Linked DNA regions of Drosophila melanogaster. The protein of the gene in region 1 interacts with the protein of each later gene in a pairwise test. Each region holds a gene or a part of one and is shown on either strand. Other genes may lie near its edges.

Region 1 (6,786 bases):
TGCCACATTACGCACGACTATCAGTATGTTTTATTATTTACAATTGTATAAACCTTTTAAATTATTTTATATTTAATTTGAATTACTCTCTCGAGCATGTTCTTTCTCCAGCGAAATGATGTATTCAAGCATATAAGCTTAATTAATGCTGGCATACATAATTAGTTTTGCTATCAAGGGACACACTTCAACATTTTTGCTAAAAAAAAGGGGAAACAAAGGATTATCAGAGTACAGAAAAATTTTACGGTAAAACTCCACTCATCTGTAGCAAAAATGTTTTTAAACAGATTTTTTTTGGAAAAAATGTAGCTGACAAAAATGGGTTATTGAATTCCAGTTCGCACGGATCCTCCGGCTAAATTCCTGTAAATCGCCGTGCACCTTTTTTCGCTACAGTTTTTCGCTTTTTGGATAATTGGTGGCATATCAGTGTTTCAGCTGGCTGACTGAACAGGTAAATGTCGGGAAAAAGCGACAACAGGGCCAACTATTTCGTGTTTTTCTTTTTCCGAGCAAACACGCTGCAGTGGACACAATAAATGAATCACGAAATGCGGAAAAAACACACAAGAGCGGGGCAGCGCCGGAAAATCGGGCAGCCATTCGCATCCGTGGGTTGACATTTAATTGCCCGGTGGGTCTGGGTGCGGGCCATTCCCCCGTCCAGAGTCCCGAGCCCTGGGTCCTGTGTCCTGCGTTCTGCGTTCTGCGTCCTGAAAAGGATGTGGGCTCGATGGTGGGTTAAGTGTGGTTGCGGCATGGCCACCATATCAGTTGTAACCCGATAAACGAGCTGCGTTTGCATGAGCACACCCTCGCCCGGCTTATGTTACCCCGTTTGCCTCTGGCAAATGCATCTCAGCGATGCGTTAAACCGCCAGAGCCACCCCAAAAACCACCCAAAGCCAGCAAAACCAGCCAAAGCACACGGACCACGACCGACTGTTTGCTATTGGGATGACGCCAGCGATGGACGTTAATCTGGCCAGCAAATTGGCCATGAGCTGATTGGTTTTGTACCTGTTGCGTATTCCCACCTGCAGTTCCGGTCCCCCGCCCCAAATGGGGCCCACCCATTTTGACCGAATAGAAGCGTTCGCCGTGTAGGAATTCTGCTAATTACTACATATATGTTATGGTTTAATCCACCCGCAGGCCTTACAACATCCAGCTGGCTAGGAAAAATGCAGCCATTCAAATTGTAAATACTCAGCAGGAACTAAAAGCAGTGGATGTGTTTCAAAATGCAATTGTCAAACTCATTGCTATTCAATAAAATTCAAGCAAATCCTCAAATAATGATATTTCTATTGTACTGTATTGAATCATTAACTCTTTTTGGCCAAATTATGAAGGTGAACCCTTAAATCAACCAAAAAATACGTATTTTGGCCAAAACAATCGATTTTATGGCCCAAATATTGAGTGTCATAGCTTGTTGAACTTGTATTCACATTCCTAATCGATTCCCATTCAAATTTGAAAATTTTAATTTTTGTCAATTTTTTGCAAATTTTAACGATGTAACCCCTTACAAAAAATGCAAAAAATGGCCAAAAATTTAATTATTGAAAATCGTCAAGATTGTGATTGGGATAGTTAGTTTGGATCATTAGGAGTCTAAAACAGTAATTTTTTTGAATGTGCGACTTTTTTTGGCCAAGTTATGAAGGTAGCCCTCCTTGGAAAACTCGTGTTTTGGCCACAATAATTTAGGTAGCAACCCAAATATACTTTAAAAATTAAATTACAAATATTTAAAAGCATTTTCAGCGTGATAAAATTAAATTTTCTTTTCTTGAAAACCAAGCAACAACCGGAAGCGGAAGACGCCACTGGTGCTCGCTGTTAGAACTACAAATTTAAATTGGGAAAATATCGATAGCATGCAAAATCCAGTTGGACTGCTATCGATGGGAGGCGCAACAGCTGATTTTGATAGTGCCGCCCTGGTTGTTTTTCGGTTCAAGTTGAATTTTAATTAATTTTCGCCGGTTATCACAGAAATGGCCCCGCCAAAGGCCGCCAGCCACCGTCCGGCGGTGCGGCGCAAGAAGTCGGGCACCCTGGTGGACTCCATCCTGGACAAGTACCTCAACGTGCGCTTCTTCAAGTATCTGCTCCTGGAGCCGGCCGCTCTGCCCATAGTTGGCCTCTTCGTGCTCCTGGCGGAGCTGGTCATCAACGTGGTGGTCATCCAGCGGGTGCCCTACACAGAGATCGACTGGGTGGCTTACATGCAGGAGTGCGAGGGCTTCCTGAACGGCACCACCAACTACAGTCTGTTGCGCGGTGAGTTTCTGCGCCGCTCCTGGTTTATTTTTGGCCACAGGTGACCCCATTCCGGTTGCGGAAACATATGCGTGCACCTGTTGTTCTTCGCATGATGTGGTTATAACGATATTTTAGGTTACCTTACTAAGGGGATAGCCTATTTCCAACTAGCTATATAGTTTATGCTCTTTTTTAGTTGGAATTCTTATAAAATTGATATTTCAGTTACTTTAAAGTTTGAAGTATTTTCAAAATCGAGGAGAGTAGTTTGACATATGGTTCAAATGTTTGAACACAGTTACCATCAAAGGTTAAACACAGAGATTTGGGGAGTTGGACGACATCAAATGCGGCACGAACTTTAGGCAACTGAAAATCGGAGCAGCGTGAGATTAAGACAAGTGAAGTTAGCCTCGCTTAAACGCAGAACTTGCCCGACTGACGGTCAATTTGGTTTATTCATCTCGAACCGAGTCGTATTTGGAATACACTCCCCCGGTTCCCGCCCGAACTTAGATTAGCAACAATAACGTGCGTTAACTTAGACACTAAAAAAACAGAATCGGCCATCGGGTTGCCAACGCCTGTCAGTTGAACATGGACTTGATCTTGCTTATGAAGCCTCCGCCTCCGCCGTCGCCTTGTCCGGATCCGGATCCGCCGCCTTCTTTCGCTTTGGTTTTCTCGTTGTCCGTCCACTGGTCTTTGCCTTCGCTTTTTTCTGCTCCTGGTCCTGGCTTGGAGGCTCCTGATCCGGCGGCTGCTGCACTGGCTTTAGCAGCTGCTCCCGCTCCTGGCTCCTCACTCGCTCCTGCGCTGCAACGAGAGATGGGGAAGGGGAGAGAAAGACGCCATCATTTAATAAAGCTCGCACATAGAACGCACGTATATTTCAACTACGAATTCAAGCTCCAAGTTACATTTAGAGATTGCATTGGTAGATCGGGAGATTATTTACGTTGCTTGCTTACTGCCGTCTTTGCGATTCGCGATTCCGTGGATCTGCCCGGGGGTGTCCTCCTCCAGCTCGGCGTACGCCTCGATCAGAGCCAGTCGCTTCTTGTCCAGCTTCTTTGCCGATGGCACCGTGATCTTGACGTGCACGTAATGATCGCCGTGTCCGTGGGCATTCACGCGTTTCAGACCCTTGCCGCGCAGCATGATCTTGTGGTGCGACGAGGTGCCCGGCTCCACGTTGATCCACTGATCCTCGTATACGCCCTGGACACGCACAGTGCCGCCCAGCACCGCCTGGGCCAGGGATATGGCCGCGTCCGTGTGCACATCGGCGCCCTCGCGCCGGAAGTAGTCGCTCCGCTCCACGCGGAACGTGACGAACAGCTCCTTGCTGCCCACCTGCATTCGCACCGTTTGCCCGTTCTCAATGCCAGCCGGCACCGGCACGGTGACCTTGCGGCGCTGGACCGTGCGGCCCTTGCCCTCGCACTCGCTGCACGGATACTTAATGTGCTGCCGCGTGCCCTGGCAGTAGCGGCAAGTGGAGCGCATTACGAAGGGCCCAGTGGACACCGTTTCGAAGCCGGTGCCGTTGCAGTACTGACAGCGACCTGGCTTGGTGCCCGGCTCGCACTTGGTGCCGGCGCACTTGGGGCACTGGTCCACCACGTTGACGTTGACATCCTTGTTAACGCCGCGCGCCGCCTGGGCAAAGGTCAGGTCCATGACCATCTCCTGGGCCTGGCCGAATCCGAACTTGGAGTCGGCGAAGTCGTCGAACGAGTTCGTTCGAAAGTTGCCCTCGCCGAAGATCTTGCGGAAGAGCTCCTCGGGGTCGATGCTCGAGCGGAACTGCCAGCTCTGCGAGAAACCCTCGGGGCCAAAGCCACCGGCTCCTCCGCCAGGGAATCCGCCGCCCTGGCGACCAATGTTTTCCGCCGTCTGGCCATAGGTGTCGTACTCACGGCGCTTCTGCTCGTCGCTGAGCACTTCGTAGGCCTCGGAGACCTCCTGGAACTTGCGGCCCGCATCCGGATCCTCCTTGTTCGTGTCCGGATGGTACTTCTTGGCCAGCTGGTAGTAGGCTTTCTTGATGTCCTTGCCGTTGGCGTTCTTGGCAACGCCCAGCGTGGCGTAGTAGTCCTTGGCCAGGAGGTCGCGCGTGGTGTGCAGGCGGCGCACTTGGGGTGCGTCTGCCCGGGTACTTCCGCTCCCGGCGCTGGAGAGGATTCGGTAGGAGGTCGCGCGTGGCGTGGAGAACGCGGCTGCCGCTAGGCAACGGCGCACCGCCGGCAGCTGCCGGAACACGAATAATTTTTTACACGAAATCATCATTTTTCCATAAAAGTATCAGATTTTCAGCTTTTCAACAACATGCCGTAACATCCATGCTGTCCTACGAATGTCTGTCTCTCTCTCTCTCACTCGCACTTGCTCAATGTGACCGCGTGCGTAGCGAGCGAAAATACCAACCGGCGTGAAAGCGAATGAAATATCGTTATATACCGTTAAAGTTAAAAAAGCCGTATATTAAATAAGTTAACTAAAGTTTTGCCTTTAAAATAAATATGAAGTGTAACTCAATGGATATAATAGTTTTCCCAGGCCCAAACAGACTGAAATAACTGCTTAGTGAATGAAAACAATGACTAATTGCATTCCTTCTATCTAATTTATGATAATTGAAATTCTTCGATTTTCGATTTCCTAGGCGACACAGGACCTCTTGTGTATCCAGCCGCCTTCGTGTACATCTACTCGGCTCTCTACTACGTCACGTCCCACGGAACGAACGTTCGCCTGGCGCAGTACATCTTCGCCGGGATCTACCTGCTCCAGCTGGCCCTGGTGCTGAGGCTGTACTCGAAGAGCAGAAAGGTGCCGCCGTATGTGCTAGTGCTCAGTGCCTTCACGTCGTATCGGATCCACTCGATATACGTGCTGCGACTGTTCAACGATCCGGTGGCAGTGCTGCTCCTCTATGCCGCACTCAATTTGTTCCTGGACAGAAGGTGGACCCTGGGTAGCACCTTCTTCAGCTTGGCGGTGGGCGTTAAGATGAACATCCTGCTGTTTGCGCCTGCGCTCTTGCTGTTCTACTTGGCCAACCTGGGACTTCTGCGGACGATCCTGCAGCTGGCTGTCTGCGGAGTGATACAACTGCTGCTGGGCGCTCCTTTCCTGCTCACCCATCCTGTGGAGTATCTGCGGGGCAGCTTTGATTTGGGACGCATCTTCGAGCACAAGTGGACGGTCAACTATCGCTTCCTGAGCAGAGATCTGTTCGAGAACCGCACCTTCCACGTTTCGCTTTTGGGCCTGCATCTGCTGCTCCTGCTGGCCTTCGCCAAGCCCACTTGGACCTTTTTCCAGAGCTACGTGCGCCTGCGCCGTATTGAGGATCAGCTGCAGCCGCAAATAGCCCAGCAGAACCTCGAGCTGAACGCGCAGAAAAGACCAAAGAAAGTGGAAAAGGACAAGGACAAGGACCAGAAGAAGTTTACAACCGAGCAGCAATCCTTCCTGAAGGCCTTCGAGAAGAGCCTGCAGAAGGCGTCTGGAGGAAAGGCCACTCCGGCACCCGCACAGGCGGAACCGGAACGCTATGGCATCCACTTCGATCGCTGCACCCAGCTGGCCCTGCTGCCGTTCTTCCTGTGCAACCTGGTGGGCGTGGCCTGCTCCCGATCCTTGCACTATCAGTTCTACGTCTGGTACTTCCACTCGCTACCCTATTTGGCCTGGTCGACGCCGTACTCGCTGGGCGTGCGCTGCCTGATCCTCGGACTGATTGAGTACTGCTGGAACACCTATCCCAGTACGAACTTCTCCAGCGCTGCCCTTCACTTCACCCACATCATACTGCTCGCTGGGGTGGCCAAGCAGCTTGTCCAGACCATGCGGATTAATAATGCGGCCAAGAGGGAGCAGCAGGAGCAACAGAAAAAGCTGCAGTAAAATGGTCTGAGTGCCACTTGTTAGCCATGAGTGCCACATATAAACCGTTTTGATTATGCCAAAAAAAAAATTGAATAAACAGTACATTAAACGAGTTAGTTTTTAGAGAATCAATCAAGGCAGCTTTAAAATGGAGTTACTTTTATTCGGGTACGTTAGTCTTTCGTATCTTTTGGCTCTGTACAGAGGGCGGGGAGTTGGTTACCAACTCGTCCCGCGATAGATGCAACCTACTATCTACATAAAATAACTTAAACAATGTCCGCTTAAAACTACAAGTGCAATAATGGTGCTGTGGCTCGAGGCTCCGCGTCAATCGCTGCCCACCGCCGTCGTGGGCGTGCGCATGCTGAGGGGCGTGGCTGCGGGCGCAGTCACTGCCGGGGGATGGGGATCAGAAGAGGAGGGAGCCGCATTCGTTGTCGTTGTTTCCTCCGCCGGCACACTGCTACTTCTCTGAATGCTAAAGAATCGCAGGAGCGTCGTCTCGCTGTTTCGCCTACTGGAAGTGGGCGTTTTTGGCTGGGATTGGGAATGGGAGTGCGAGGAGCTGCCAGCCGGCGTGCCACCGCCTCCGTCCGTATGGGAGATGCG
Region 2 (7,935 bases), on another chromosome or scaffold:
TCAACTATGGCACAAATGCCCCAGCTGGCACCCACATTCCCGTGACCAAGGCCCTGGAAATTGGACAGTGGGAGGAAAAGCTCAAGGCCGCCGGCGTCGAGGACAGGAAGTTCAACGTGAAATGCATCGTGTCGCATGTCCTGAAGCAGAAGTTTGTAAGTATCTGTGAGAAAAGCTGGCTATCAACATCACTAACCATGTTTACGTTCCGTAGAGTTCGGTTCCTGACTCATTTGACCAGCTGCAGCTAAATCCCGGCCAGCTGGCGGATTTCGAGCGCTTCCTGGAGGCCCGTTGTGCCCGCATGCCGTTGCAGCACATCATTGGCGAGTGGGACTTCATGGACATTACGCTGAAGACATCGCCGTCGGTCTTCATTCCACGCCCCGAAACGGAGGAGTTTATGCGCCTGGTGATCGATGATCACAAGAACGCAAAGCACGTCGATCTTTTGGAGGTGGGCTGCGGCTCGGGCGCCATGTCCTTGTCCATGCTACACAGTCTGCCGCAGGTGGTGGCCACTGCCATTGAGCGTAGCAAGGCGGCAACCGTTCTGGCTGCGGAGAATGCCAAAATGCTGGGGCTGCTGAATCGATTTGAGGTACACAACCACACCATGGAGGAGGACAAGTACCTGCCGGAGGCGCTGAAGGACAAGAAGTACGATTTGATCATCTCCAATCCTCCGTATGTGAAAACTGAGGAGTTTCAGTTTCTGCATCCCGAAGTCGTGGTGTAAGTGATGTTATACCAGATGGATGCAGTGCACTAACTATCTTATATCCCCAGGTATGAGAACCTTAATGCCCTGGACGGTGGGTCCGATGGATTGAGGGTGGCTCGACTGGTTTTCGACTTGGCTTGTCGGCACCTGCGTCCCGGTGGCAAGCTCTGGCTGGAACTGGGCAACGACCACCCGCCGATGGTGAAGACCATTATGAATCTGAAGTACGAGGGCCGGCTCAAGTTCATCGCCGGCTACAGTGACCAGTATCAGCGCGAGAGATTCGTTCAGATCGAGAAGGTCTAGGCGAGATTGCGCCATAGACAGGACGGAATGCTATGACTTTGACAATGCAATTAGCTATAACGTTGCCCATGCATTTAGCTGTGATTTGATTTAAGACCAGACATACCTGCACGCTGCCCAGAGACTCACACCTATATAAACAGAATATATAGCGCTATTAATCCTTAAGTTTCGTCTCTGAATCTTTTAGCAACAACCGCAGGCGGTATTACTTCACAAATATACCTGTATAAATTGCACAATGCAATTAGCTGTTTGATTTATGACCATATTATTATCAGTATACAAAAACCACAACGACTTTTACCTAAGGCTTTCTACTGCATTTTTGATCCTATAATAATGGATTAACATGATTTTAAAGATCAATAGGTTAAAAGTATAATGCACCTATAATAACTGGTCACTGATTTAAACTATGGCGATTATGATTTATAACCAGAGGCTTGCTGCCATAAATTGGAGGGTGTTAATGATCATCGCGGATCGAGTATAATGCTGTTTAATCAAACTGATGTATTCTATATCTGCGATAAGCAAAATGCTAACCATATTTTTGGCCTGAAAGATGTGTATCCTGTCAATATATAGAATCAGAATATTTCTATGCAAATTAGAAAGTTTTTGCTTAAAGTTACCACTTTAATGCTTATAGGTGTACTGATTATGAAAACAAGGACACATGTCCACAAGGATTACCATAATTATGAACCCGAGTGCATAAATCCCCCGACTTCGCATCTGAATCTTGTTGTAACCGCTCCGCTGGAGAGCTTTAAGCTCCGGAGCGGATAAAAGCTCCGACAGAGTGGCTCGGAGCAACAAGTGGCTAACTTCCGTTGCCAGTTGGAAGTCGAAACTCGCGCCGGACGAGTCTGCGGAATCCGGGTGCGCGAGTGGAACGCGGATTTAGATTGTCGTAGCTCTTTAATTCAATTGACGATTTCGAGCTGCGATCTCCTTCGTTCGGCTGGTGTGTGTTGTTTCACTTTCAAGTACGCATACATATGTGTAGTATAATTAACAAATGGCTAAATCATAATTAAAGTCGGAGTTTCAGTGGATATCACAATGAGCGCTTGATGAAAGTCAAGAAGAGGGAACTTAAAAAGCGCCGAAACAAAACAAAAACGAGAAACACGTTAAACGAGAAATTGATTTTAAAAATTCTACATAAATTTGACCATATAGATTTGGGTAAATGAATGAATGTGCATATATATGTACATGTATATATATATACATACGCCCAAACTGCGATTTGAAGGCGGTTTGAATGTGGATTGGAAACTTTTAGAAACCAATTAGCCAGATCGTGACATTACTTAATGCATTTATCCGCCCGATCGACGCGTGCAAGTGTGTGCCTGTGTGCGTGAGTGCGTGCGTGCGTAAACATGAATACCGAATTGAATCGAGTTCAAACTTGCGTTCTTTTCGCCGACTGGTTTTCCGGCGAGGCTGGCTTAATCGCCTTGCGTTTGTAATTTTAGCACACTTTCAATATTTATTGTCGGTCCCTGCTCCCCGGCGCAGAAAATGCGAATAACAATCTGAGCAAACAAGATTCGGCAACGAATTTGCAGCTTGCCGCGCTGTGCAAATAAAAGTATATATAAAAGTATGTACATATATACATTTATATATAGCTGGTAATGCCTCCTTTGGCAGCATCAATATGTGCACCTGCTACGTGCAACACCGACTTGCAGCAACAGCCAACCGATGAGCGAAAGTCGCACGCCGATTGTGTTAACAAGTGTGTGGCTGGCTGCTCCCTGCCCGCATTTTAATTCATCATCCGCACCGTGTGCCAAGGCACTGCGATTCCCAATCCGTGGAGCTGTGAACGTTTTTGGCGACCTGCAGGCTAAGCAAGCGATTTATATGCTGCCGCTCACATGGCACAAGGTCCCATCCAAAAACAGCAGCGGCCAAGATAGTAGTTCATATGCACATATTTGGGTTCTTAACAGGTTAATTGTCATTTTATAATGATATGGGTTTAATAGGTTTCCATATCTGATCCAAAACTATACAGAAATGGAAGAAAGTCATCATAGGTGATCTTTTATTTGATAATTTCTTACATAAAGTTACTACTTCTTGTTCCCCATTGTACGTTGTGTACAGTGCGCGACGGCTAAGAAAACGGAGTGAAAATCAAGATAGTCGTTATCTAGTTTAGATGGCCTTTCGCAGTCGGGGACTGGGAAACATTGAAATGCAAATACGCCGCCTCGGTAGTTTCATTTGTGTGTCAAAAATTGTGTGGGGGTGTGGGGGGTTAACCCGGCTTAGACTCTAATCTGATCGATCGGAGTGTGAGAAATGGCCTGCTAATGGAATACTTACCACTTTCCCACACTTTTCAATCGCTTCAGCCGAGTGTGTCACCTGTGCGAGCCCATTAATACCCAAGGATGAGCTGGACAAACGAAAGTTAGTTGCGATCGCGTGAAAAGGGAAACCGGACAGTCGGTTTTTTGAGTGCGGATACAAAGTCTACATGTGGCACAACGACAACAGCATCGGCCAGTAATTTAAATGCTTCGCGGCGGCAATTGAAAGGGCCAGCAATTAACCACGACTACTGCAGCTGCGAGGCATAGTGGAAAATCACTTTTATAGACGTACATACATAACTCTATATATACATAGAGTTAGCTCCTGCAGCAAAATGAAGAACCGCCAGCGAACGCGCCGAATATCGCTAAATGAAAACCACAACAGATACATGGGCAGCGGCGGCATCGATGTACAAATAGTTACCAATACAAAGGAGCCCAATCAAGTCAATTTAAATTCATCGTCAGCCACGACGACCTCAGCGGAGGCTGCTCTGCCCGCTTCGCTTCCACTTGCTCAGATAGCGCAGCAGCCACATACCCATCCCCATCCCCATCCCAATCCCCATCTCCACCAGCAACACCAGCTGATTGTGACGCCCACAACGATGACGGGCAAGTATCATCCAGCGCACGCCAAGCTGCGAAGATGCAAATCGACGCCGAGTCTCAATTGCGATGGCATGGCGGAGCCCATGGAGGAGGACCAGCTCCATCGCTTTGCAGCATGCTCACGTAACCCCGCCGCGGAGGCTCAGCAGCATGCACAGCCATCGTGCAACAGCAGCAGCAGCAGCAGCGACGGCAGCTGCAACAGCAACAAGTGCAGCAGCAACATCTGCGGTGCGCAGCCAACAACTCCGGAGTCATTGCGCTTCGGATGCGCTCACTACAAGCGGCGGGCCATGTTCGTGGTAAGTGCAACAGGCAGTCCAACTCCATTCATATTATCTATGGATGCTTTTCCAAGCATTACATAAAAGGAAAAGCCCCAGAAAAGTTATAAAAGTTATACACTTGAACTTCTTTGATATGTATATCAATACAAATTTTAATCCTTTTTTAGTGTATCGTAGTATCTATAACCATTCTTAAGATTAGTAGATAGATGTTCGTAGAAAGACTAGACGGATCCATGTATCTAGCAGTCTTACTTGTAGTGAGATTAGTTTATTCAAACCTCAAATGTGAAACCAGTCAACTTATGTGATATAAGAACAAACTTCAATTTTGAAAGTTCTTTTTTTATTTTATACGGGTATAGTTCAATTCCTGGGTCATCAGATAAAGAATTATGCAATTGGAACCCCTATGTCATGATTAGAAAGCGGATCAGTCATTTCACTTTTATAAAATGAATCCTAAAAATACATTGAAATAAATTCAAAGTGATAAAGCCATTAAACATTTCACCCATTTGGAAAATTTTCAAGAAGATTATGATGGCGCCTCTAAATGGCATTTGTATGCCTATTTATCCATCTATCTATCTATGTGTGTGTGTGTGTCTATCCAACACAGCTACCTTCCTGAAAATGGGCGCATTTAACCTTTATTTATTCGTTCCTAAACAAATAAAGTGGCTAAACTCTAAACAGACACCTTTGGCGAAGATTCTTTTGTGTCTGTCTGCTGACTAGATTTTGAATTCAATTGGAGGGCATCGCTATTTGCACGGCAAGTGTTTGGCTTGTGTGGACAGCTTGACGATGTCCGGCATCCAAAAAACTAACTGGTCAGCATGCTCCGCTGAGCAGGAACTGAGCAGGAGGCGAGTGGCCACTGGCCAGTTAACACCTCCATTCGCCATTCATCTGGGCAAACAATGCGTTTGTCTTGATCGCTCGCGTTTGGATAACAAATTATGGGGCATCTAAAAATGTTGTGTGTGCATATAAAGCAATCGTAGCACGGCTATATTCAGGTTCTTTACCTTAACAATTAGTAGAGCCAGCAGACATAATTATCGTAAGGTGATAAGTACAGAAGTTCGAAGGTGGGAAAAGTAACTCAGTGCTGGGGAAAGTGGTAACCATTTCATGTATAAAGTATCTCATGCAGAGAAGACTGCAGCTGCACTTGATTAGATAGATTTGTTTGTGAATGACCTGGATTATTAAATAAAGAAAAAGAAAGTTAAATGTAAATATTTAAATACTTATAATTCCAACAGTAGTGAGCGCTTATTTGTTGTTGAAAAGCAGCCAATTCGCGATATGAATTATTAATTCCCCAAAAATTCTGTATTATGCGCTATGGCCTTACAATACTTTCCAAAAAATGTCACGTAAATCCGTACACACGCTTCAATCTGTCCCACATTTTAATAAAATTCGAATGTAGAGGTTTTTGCTTTCGTCTGTGCACCGCGAGAAATTCGGATAAGCGAGGGTTTTGTGCACTAATGAGGTGCCCATTGAGTGTTGAATCAGCTGGGTTATTTTATAGTCAAATATTTATTTTCGCCCGACAGTGCGTGAAATAAATGTATACATGAATGTGGACATAAGCTGAGAGCAGTATGTGCAATCCCCCAAGTGGAGCAATGCCCCATGGATATCGCCTGTTCCCGCGAATCTTGTATCAATTTGTGTTAGAAGCTTTGTTTCGTCTTGGCTAAATAAATTTGAGATGTCTGGAGTTAGCCAATTGCAGATGCAAACGATCATTAAAATACGATCGTTAGTGAAGCACAGCAATGAAAGCCGGGGGGAATGACAAAGAAACCGGATTCGAAGACTCTTCTCCGGTTCGGTTCTGTACTTCGAGTGTTATCATCGCAGCAGCAGCAGAGTTGAAATAAATACTTGTATACGAAAAAACTGTTGTTAAGTTATAAATAATTCTCAAAGATAGTGGAGATAGATGTGTGCGCGAGGCTGGAGGCAGATACAAATGGCTGGGTGTTGGCTGTAACTAAGCCGAACTCGAGGATACACAAGATAATTAAGGGCATAAATTAACTTATTTTCAAACTTTATCCCCAAGACAAAACTGATAGAACTATATCATGTAGTTCGAGCTGTGCATCGACAGGTGAACTAATTAGCAGCCACCTAATTAAACGACACGAGTACCTTTGGCATCTTTACAATCGGATTGGGATTCACCCGCTGATTTGACTCGAAATTCGTACAAAATTCGATTCAGTTTCAAGTGCCTTGTTTATGATAATGCTAAGTTATTGCCTTTGGCATGTAGACGTCACTAGTAGATTTGTTTTTTAGTCGGTTTCCAGGCAGATTTCTTAAATTAGCAACTCCATTTGGGGAGTTAGGAGTCGTGCTAATTGCCGCTCGATAATAGGTTTTTCGTAGTCCTTGACTGAGGGGTGTAGTCCATCGGCAGGTGTGGCGGGGAGCAATCTCAGCTCCATTTAAAGTGGAATTTTTTCGAGCAGCGATTTCTTTTCAGCACTAATTTGATCTGATACTGATCACGCAACTATATCTTTCTCAGACCCCCTGCTGCAACAAGTTCTACAAGTGCCGATTTTGCCACGACGAGAACGAGACGCATCACTTCGATCGCAAAACGCTCACCGAACTAATATGCTCCGAGTGCAATACGCGGCAAACGGTGCGGGAGCAGTGCCTCAATTGCGGCGTGAGATTTGGTAAGGTAAGATATCCATCCAGGTGTCCAAAAATCACAGCAAAACCCTACTAGTAATATCATTTTGATGTACTTACAGTACACCTGCCTGATCTGCAACCTCTTCGATGATGCGGACAAGCAGCAGTACCATTGTCATGGATGTGGGATTTGTCGCATTGGCGGTGCGGAGAACTTCTTCCACTGCGAGGTGTGCAACATGTGCCTACCTATTCAGCTGAAGATCGATGGCCACCGGGTGAGTTGGTACTACATTTGGCACTTCATTGGGCTTGATTAAGATTTGGCCTGTAAGTGGGAATGCTGACCTCCGCGATTCGAAAGCAAATCAAAGAAACACATTAACTTTTTTTTTTTTTTGTCAATTCATTACCAAAACCGGTTGCCTAATTGCTATATGTAGCGATATATGATCTGCGATCTGCAATCTGGGATCCAGTTGAGTGGATATGAATGTCAAATGTGCTGAAGCAATGACTTCATTAATTGACAGCGAATTGGGCCAGAGACTGGCATGGCTGATTGCTAAATCCTTGCTAATTGACAACGTGTCTATTTTCCCGTAGTGCGTGGAGAACATCTCGCGATCGCACTGCCCCGTGTGCCTGGGCGACATCCACACTTCGCGCATACCCTGCCACATTCCCGACTGCGGACACCTGCTGCACAAGATGTGCTTCGACCAGCTGCTGGCCTCCGGCCACTACACCTGTCCCACCTGCCAGACCTCGCTGATCGATATGACGGCGCTGTGGGTATACTTGGACGACCAGGCGGAGCGCATGCCGGTGCCACTGAAGTACGAGAATCAGCGAGTGCACATATTCTGCAACGATTGTCACAAGGTACGACTAGATATACATAATACTAACATTCATGAAAAGCTCTTATAACCTTATCCAATTCATTACAGACTTCAAAAACCAAATTCCATTTCATCGG
Region 3 (4,565 bases), on another chromosome or scaffold:
TACGTACGTACGCCATTGTACATACAATTATAATGAGCGAACATTATAATTAGTAATGGAACATGCGTACGTATGCAATAGTAAACATCCATTATAATTAGCAATGGGAACCTGCCGTTTCCACTACAAAATAAAATCATTTATTGGTCAAGATATGAAAAACGCACATTTGGCTTGCATTGGGGTTCTGGCGATCTTCCACATCTAATTGAATGTACTAGTATTCTCGAGTTCGTTGGGAGTTATTATTTTATGTGTAACCTTTCAAAATGGAAACTTTCCAATGGAAAGTGAGCATATTTTTAAAAAAAAATCCAAAAATCCTTTATCAATGACCTCTATAAGTTGCTTAACATTTATTTAACTTTCGTTCGACAATCAGTGATAGGTTCTGCTCCTTGCTCATCCTCTACAGACCGGCCTGCAGACCAAAGCCAGGACCCTTGGGCTCCTCGCTCAGGGAAGTGGGCTCGCCCTTTGGCTCGCTGGCAAAGCGTCCGTTGCGTGGCCCAGGGGGCGATATCTTATCCGCCTTCAGGTCGTTCAGGATGTCCTGCATGTCCTTGGATGTCAGATCCTCCTGCAAAGTAAAAAAAAAACGTTAGCAATGTTTGCACAATATAGAGTCGATTTCAGCGCATTAAGATTGAAACGCTGGACGAGGCTGAGAGTGAAACTGGCGTTTCCTACAAACAAATGACCAGGAAACACATTTAGCAATTAGAATTGCTTACATAGTAGTCATCGTTGATCGCCACCATTGGCGCATTGACACAGGCGCCCAAGCACTCGACCTCCGAGATGGTGAACTTCCTGTCCTTGGTGGTGTCGCCGACGCCGATGCCCAGCTGCTTCTTGCAGGTCTCCAGGATGTCGTCCGATCCGCGGAGCCAGCATGGTGTGGTGGTGCACACCTGGATGTGATACTTGCCAGTGGGCTTGCGCATGAACATCGTATAGAAAGTGGCCACCTCGTAGACGCGCATATTGGGCAACTGGAGAATCTCGGCCACCTTGTGCATGGCAGAGATTGGCAGCCAGCCGTACTGGCGCTGTGCCAGATCAAGCAGCGGGATCATGGCGCCGCGCTTGTGCCCCTCCGGATAGATGCTGAGTATGGCCTCCACGCGCTTCTTGTTCTCCGCCGTGAACTCGAACGGGATGTTGGGATTATCCTCCGGTGTGTCGCGATGGACGAACAGATTGTCGCTGGCCCGGGCACTGCTGGTGGCAATTGCCCGGATGTTGGCGCGCTGCAAATAACAACACATATCCTTAATGTTATTGTTTTCCTGTCGCCAATTATATAACTCGGGGAACAGGTTGCCTTCCCTGGTTGACACCGCGAATTACTGGACAGTTTGGATGGCTGCGCTACTCACCACGGCGGCCAGTGTTTTGGAGGCACAGTTTGTCAGCATTCTGGCGTTTCCAAAATAATGAAAAGGCTGAAAATTTGCTCTTATGTTATGTGAAGTCCGTCGGCTGCTGTCAGTTTTTTTTTAACAAGCACCGCTTACAGCTGATTTTCGGCGGAGCGTTTGCCAACACTGGCACTTGTCGTCAGAGATGAGCAAATCTCTACAAATCTTGTACAACATTAATAAAAAAAAGCTTAAACAAATAAAACTTGTAATTAAATTAATATTCAGCGGTACGTTACATTTTTTTATTCCTTTTTAAAATAAGTTTTCTAAAACAGTAAGCGATATATATCGCTGTGACTTCAGTATCTATGACACTTTTCAACAATGATCGCTGTGCCTTAGCATTCGATATCCGATAAATTACTGAACGCGCAAACTTGTAAGCTTATCGGGGGGAAACATTGAACGGACAAAATATGGAAAAATATCCACTTGTCAAAGAATTTATGGGGCAAAATTGGCCAAAAGATACCAAAATGGCGCAGCTCGAGAAGGAACTCAAGAAAAGGAAAGAATTGATCGTCGAGGAGCAGAGTGAGTGGGCATAATGCGCGAATCTCCAAGTAAGATTTATACATACATGTTTCTGCTTGTTCAGTTGTAGGGCCGCGTTTGGAGCAGGTGCTATTCGACCTGACCTTGGTCAAGCAGTGCGCCTTGGTAGTGGAGGATAACGGTGCCGGTATGGCACAGGCCAACACCATGATACAGGACTGTATGTTCCAGATCACGCGAATTGAGGAGCTGCTCGAAATGGCCGGGCTGCAGGACATCCTCTACTACACGGTGCATCGCAAGGAGCAGGAGTTCCAGCGCAAAATTAAGCTGCAGGAGGATTTGGCCGAGCAAGAGAATCAGCAGAACACAATCCTCGAATCGCGCAGCATCGGTAAGATTTTGTATGAGGTATTATTGAATACGGAATCCATTTGAATGCTATATAATCATAAACAATAAAAAACATTTTGTTTAATATTTTTTACCCTATGTGATAGTATAAGTTCATTTGTGTTATTTAAATGATTCTCAAGTAGCTTCTATTTCAGTCCAGGAATTCCGAAAAGAGCAAGCCTTAAAAAAAGAGGCAGATAAGGAGCTAGCCTCAGTGGACGACCAACTGGACCAGTCGGATCGCGAGTGGACAATTACGCTGAGAAGTATGACGGATAAGCTTAATAAGAAGATAGTCAGCGTTTTACAGATGGGAAAGCTGATAAACGAATTGAAGGAAGAGGTGAGTAGCTGCGAAATATCCATTCCAAGTGAATAACTTTTCCGTTTTTCAGTTGCAAAAAAGGAATTTGATTAAAACGGGTGTCACTAAGGGCGCTGAACCAAGTTTGGCTGGTGTTCCATCCGCTAGCACCATTTCACCATTTCAGTCCGCTTCGGATTTCCTCAACAACTTCATCTTTAAGAATATCAGACCAGATGACAATAAATCCATGACGAGCGTGAATAGAGAGATCACTACTAAGAAGCTGGAGACTCCTCTGCGATCCATTTTGATCAAATGCAAGGAGGTCGAGTCTGTTGCCATTTCCAACTCGCCAACAAAGCAAGTGCGTTTTTCTCCCTATCCAGAGATAAGCCATATCGAAGAGGAGAAATTTGAGAAGACCGATTGGCTTTCTCCTTCAGAAGAGGCAGGTGTCCCAAATGCGGAATTAGAAGAGGACAGTGACGAAATGGAGGCCACAGACGAAGATTTTGAGGAAATATCAGAAGAAGAATTCGAAATGGCGCTGAAAGATGAAGGATTTGAGCAGGAGGTAAAAGTAGAAAAGTCAGAAGAGGTTTTGCATCTAGAACAGGATAGATATGATGAGAAATCTGGCTCAGAAGTCGAGGAATCCGTATCGGATGACAAGGAATCCGGAGGGGAGGCTTCAGGAGAGGAGGAGCCGGCTGATGCGGCCAAACAAGTAAAAATCGGCGAAAACCCGAAGACTGATGAGCAGCTATCCAATGAAATTTCCGATAAACCACAAATAATTAGAGTCGACACTCTCTCTCCCTTCAAAAACATATCTTCCTGGGCCAGCGACGATATACCCAGCACCTCCAAGGGCACTCTTAATCGTTTTACTGCAACCCAGTTTATGAACTATGGTAGCAATCGCGATGAAAACGAGGCGCCGCCTTGCAAGCGACTAAAATTGGAGGAGGAGGAGTTCCCAATGAGCCAACCAATGCCGGATTACTTTAAGCATCCGTCGTCCACATTCAACAACTTTGATGATCAATCACTTCGATTCAGCTCGCCCCACAACAATTTTGACGATGATTACCTGCTGAACTTCAGCGATGATAATGATGTTACACCTACTGCCGCCTCGGCGTACATACTTTAAATTGTTAACGTATTTTGGTCAAAAATTAATGTATGTTCTTTATAAGAACGGACAATTAATTAATATCCAGATACTTATTCATTCATTGCCATTTGCAATCAAAAAAAATTTCACTTCAGCTAAATTATTTGTAGCTTTATAATGAAATTAATTTGCGTACATAATATGCATATGTACATTTAAATCATACGTATTCAGTTCGAAAGTGCCGTTTCAGACTTATTCTTCATTTTGTCGTTGCTTATAAACTAATAAAACAATAAATTAAGACAAATTCGTGACTTTAAATATTTAATTTTACTGCAAACAGTAAATTTTACCACTTGCAATAAAATACTTTTCTCATTACAGCATATAAATCTTTATTAAAAATGTATATTATAAAATAGGGGAATATGAAGACTACTTAATACAATACATAGTGTAAAATACATTTATATATTTAATCTAATATATATTTAACTTTAATATTTCATTTGTAATTCTGGGCGCCAATGGTTTGAGTCCAAGCTTTAATCGATTTGGTATATTTATGGTTTGTTTTGGTATTTGTCAGCATGCATCGCGCTTAGTATTTTAACCCATGCTGTCGATACCACGAGTTTGTTTTACAAAAATTGAACCAAAACCCAAAATAAATGGCTCGGAAACGAAAGATTCCCGTGCGCAAGCACCACGGCGTCCGTGATCCCCTCAAGCAGCTGGAACAGAAGGAGAAGAAGTTTGTTCATAGTGGCAAGTCAGTCGAAAAAGGCAGCTAAACTAATATCTGCACCATTTCACA

What was found.
Region 2: the proteins of Alg3 (region 1) and Rchy1 interact in a two-hybrid assay, tested with the Drosophila melanogaster proteins (one large-scale study listed by BioGRID).
Region 3: the proteins of Alg3 (region 1) and corolla interact in a two-hybrid assay, tested with the Drosophila melanogaster proteins (one large-scale study listed by BioGRID).

What each region holds. Positions count from the first base shown.
Region 1 is NT_033778.4:23,704,937-23,711,722, reverse strand, and holds Alg3 (ALG3, alpha-1,3- mannosyltransferase), read left to right. Parts: upstream 1-1,930; 5' UTR 1,931-2,009; coding exon 2,010-2,295; exon of another isoform or gene 2,296-2,546; intron 2,547-2,696; exon of another isoform or gene 2,697-2,864; coding exon of another isoform or gene 2,865-3,093; intron 3,094-3,137; exon of another isoform or gene 3,138-3,231; coding exon of another isoform or gene 3,232-4,569; exon of another isoform or gene 4,570-4,810; intron 4,811-4,945; coding exon 4,946-6,192; 3' UTR 6,193-6,284; downstream 6,285-6,786. Other genes in the region: CG5504 (uncharacterized protein), read right to left, coding at 2,865-3,093, 3,236-4,569; l(2)dtl (lethal-(2)-denticleless), read right to left, coding at 6,505-6,786. UniProt on the Drosophila melanogaster protein: Probable alpha-1,3-mannosyltransferase involved in the N-glycosylation pathway. Involved in glycosylation of the TNF receptor grnd, regulating its ligand affinity. Required for normal epithelial growth and architecture.
Region 2 is NT_033779.5:6,459,619-6,467,553, reverse strand, and holds the start of Rchy1 (ring finger and CHY zinc finger domain containing 1), read left to right. Parts: upstream 1-1,884; 5' UTR 1,885-2,025; intron 2,026-3,414; 5' UTR 3,415-3,710; coding exon 3,711-4,292; intron 4,293-6,837; coding exon 6,838-6,999; intron 7,000-7,072; coding exon 7,073-7,231; intron 7,232-7,559; coding exon 7,560-7,838; intron 7,839-7,906; coding exon 7,907-7,935. Other genes in the region: HemK1 (HemK methyltransferase 1), read left to right, coding at 1-155, 215-735, 790-1,030.
Region 3 is NC_004354.4:17,629,278-17,633,842, reverse strand, and holds corolla (corolla), read left to right. Parts: upstream 1-1,795; 5' UTR 1,796-1,843; coding exon 1,844-1,961; intron 1,962-2,025; coding exon 2,026-2,316; intron 2,317-2,473; coding exon 2,474-2,661; intron 2,662-2,713; coding exon 2,714-3,781; 3' UTR 3,782-4,052; downstream 4,053-4,565. Other genes in the region: ND-24 (NADH dehydrogenase (ubiquinone) 24 kDa subunit), read right to left, coding at 410-580, 735-1,253, 1,383-1,421; CG8326 (uncharacterized protein), read left to right, coding at 4,420-4,502.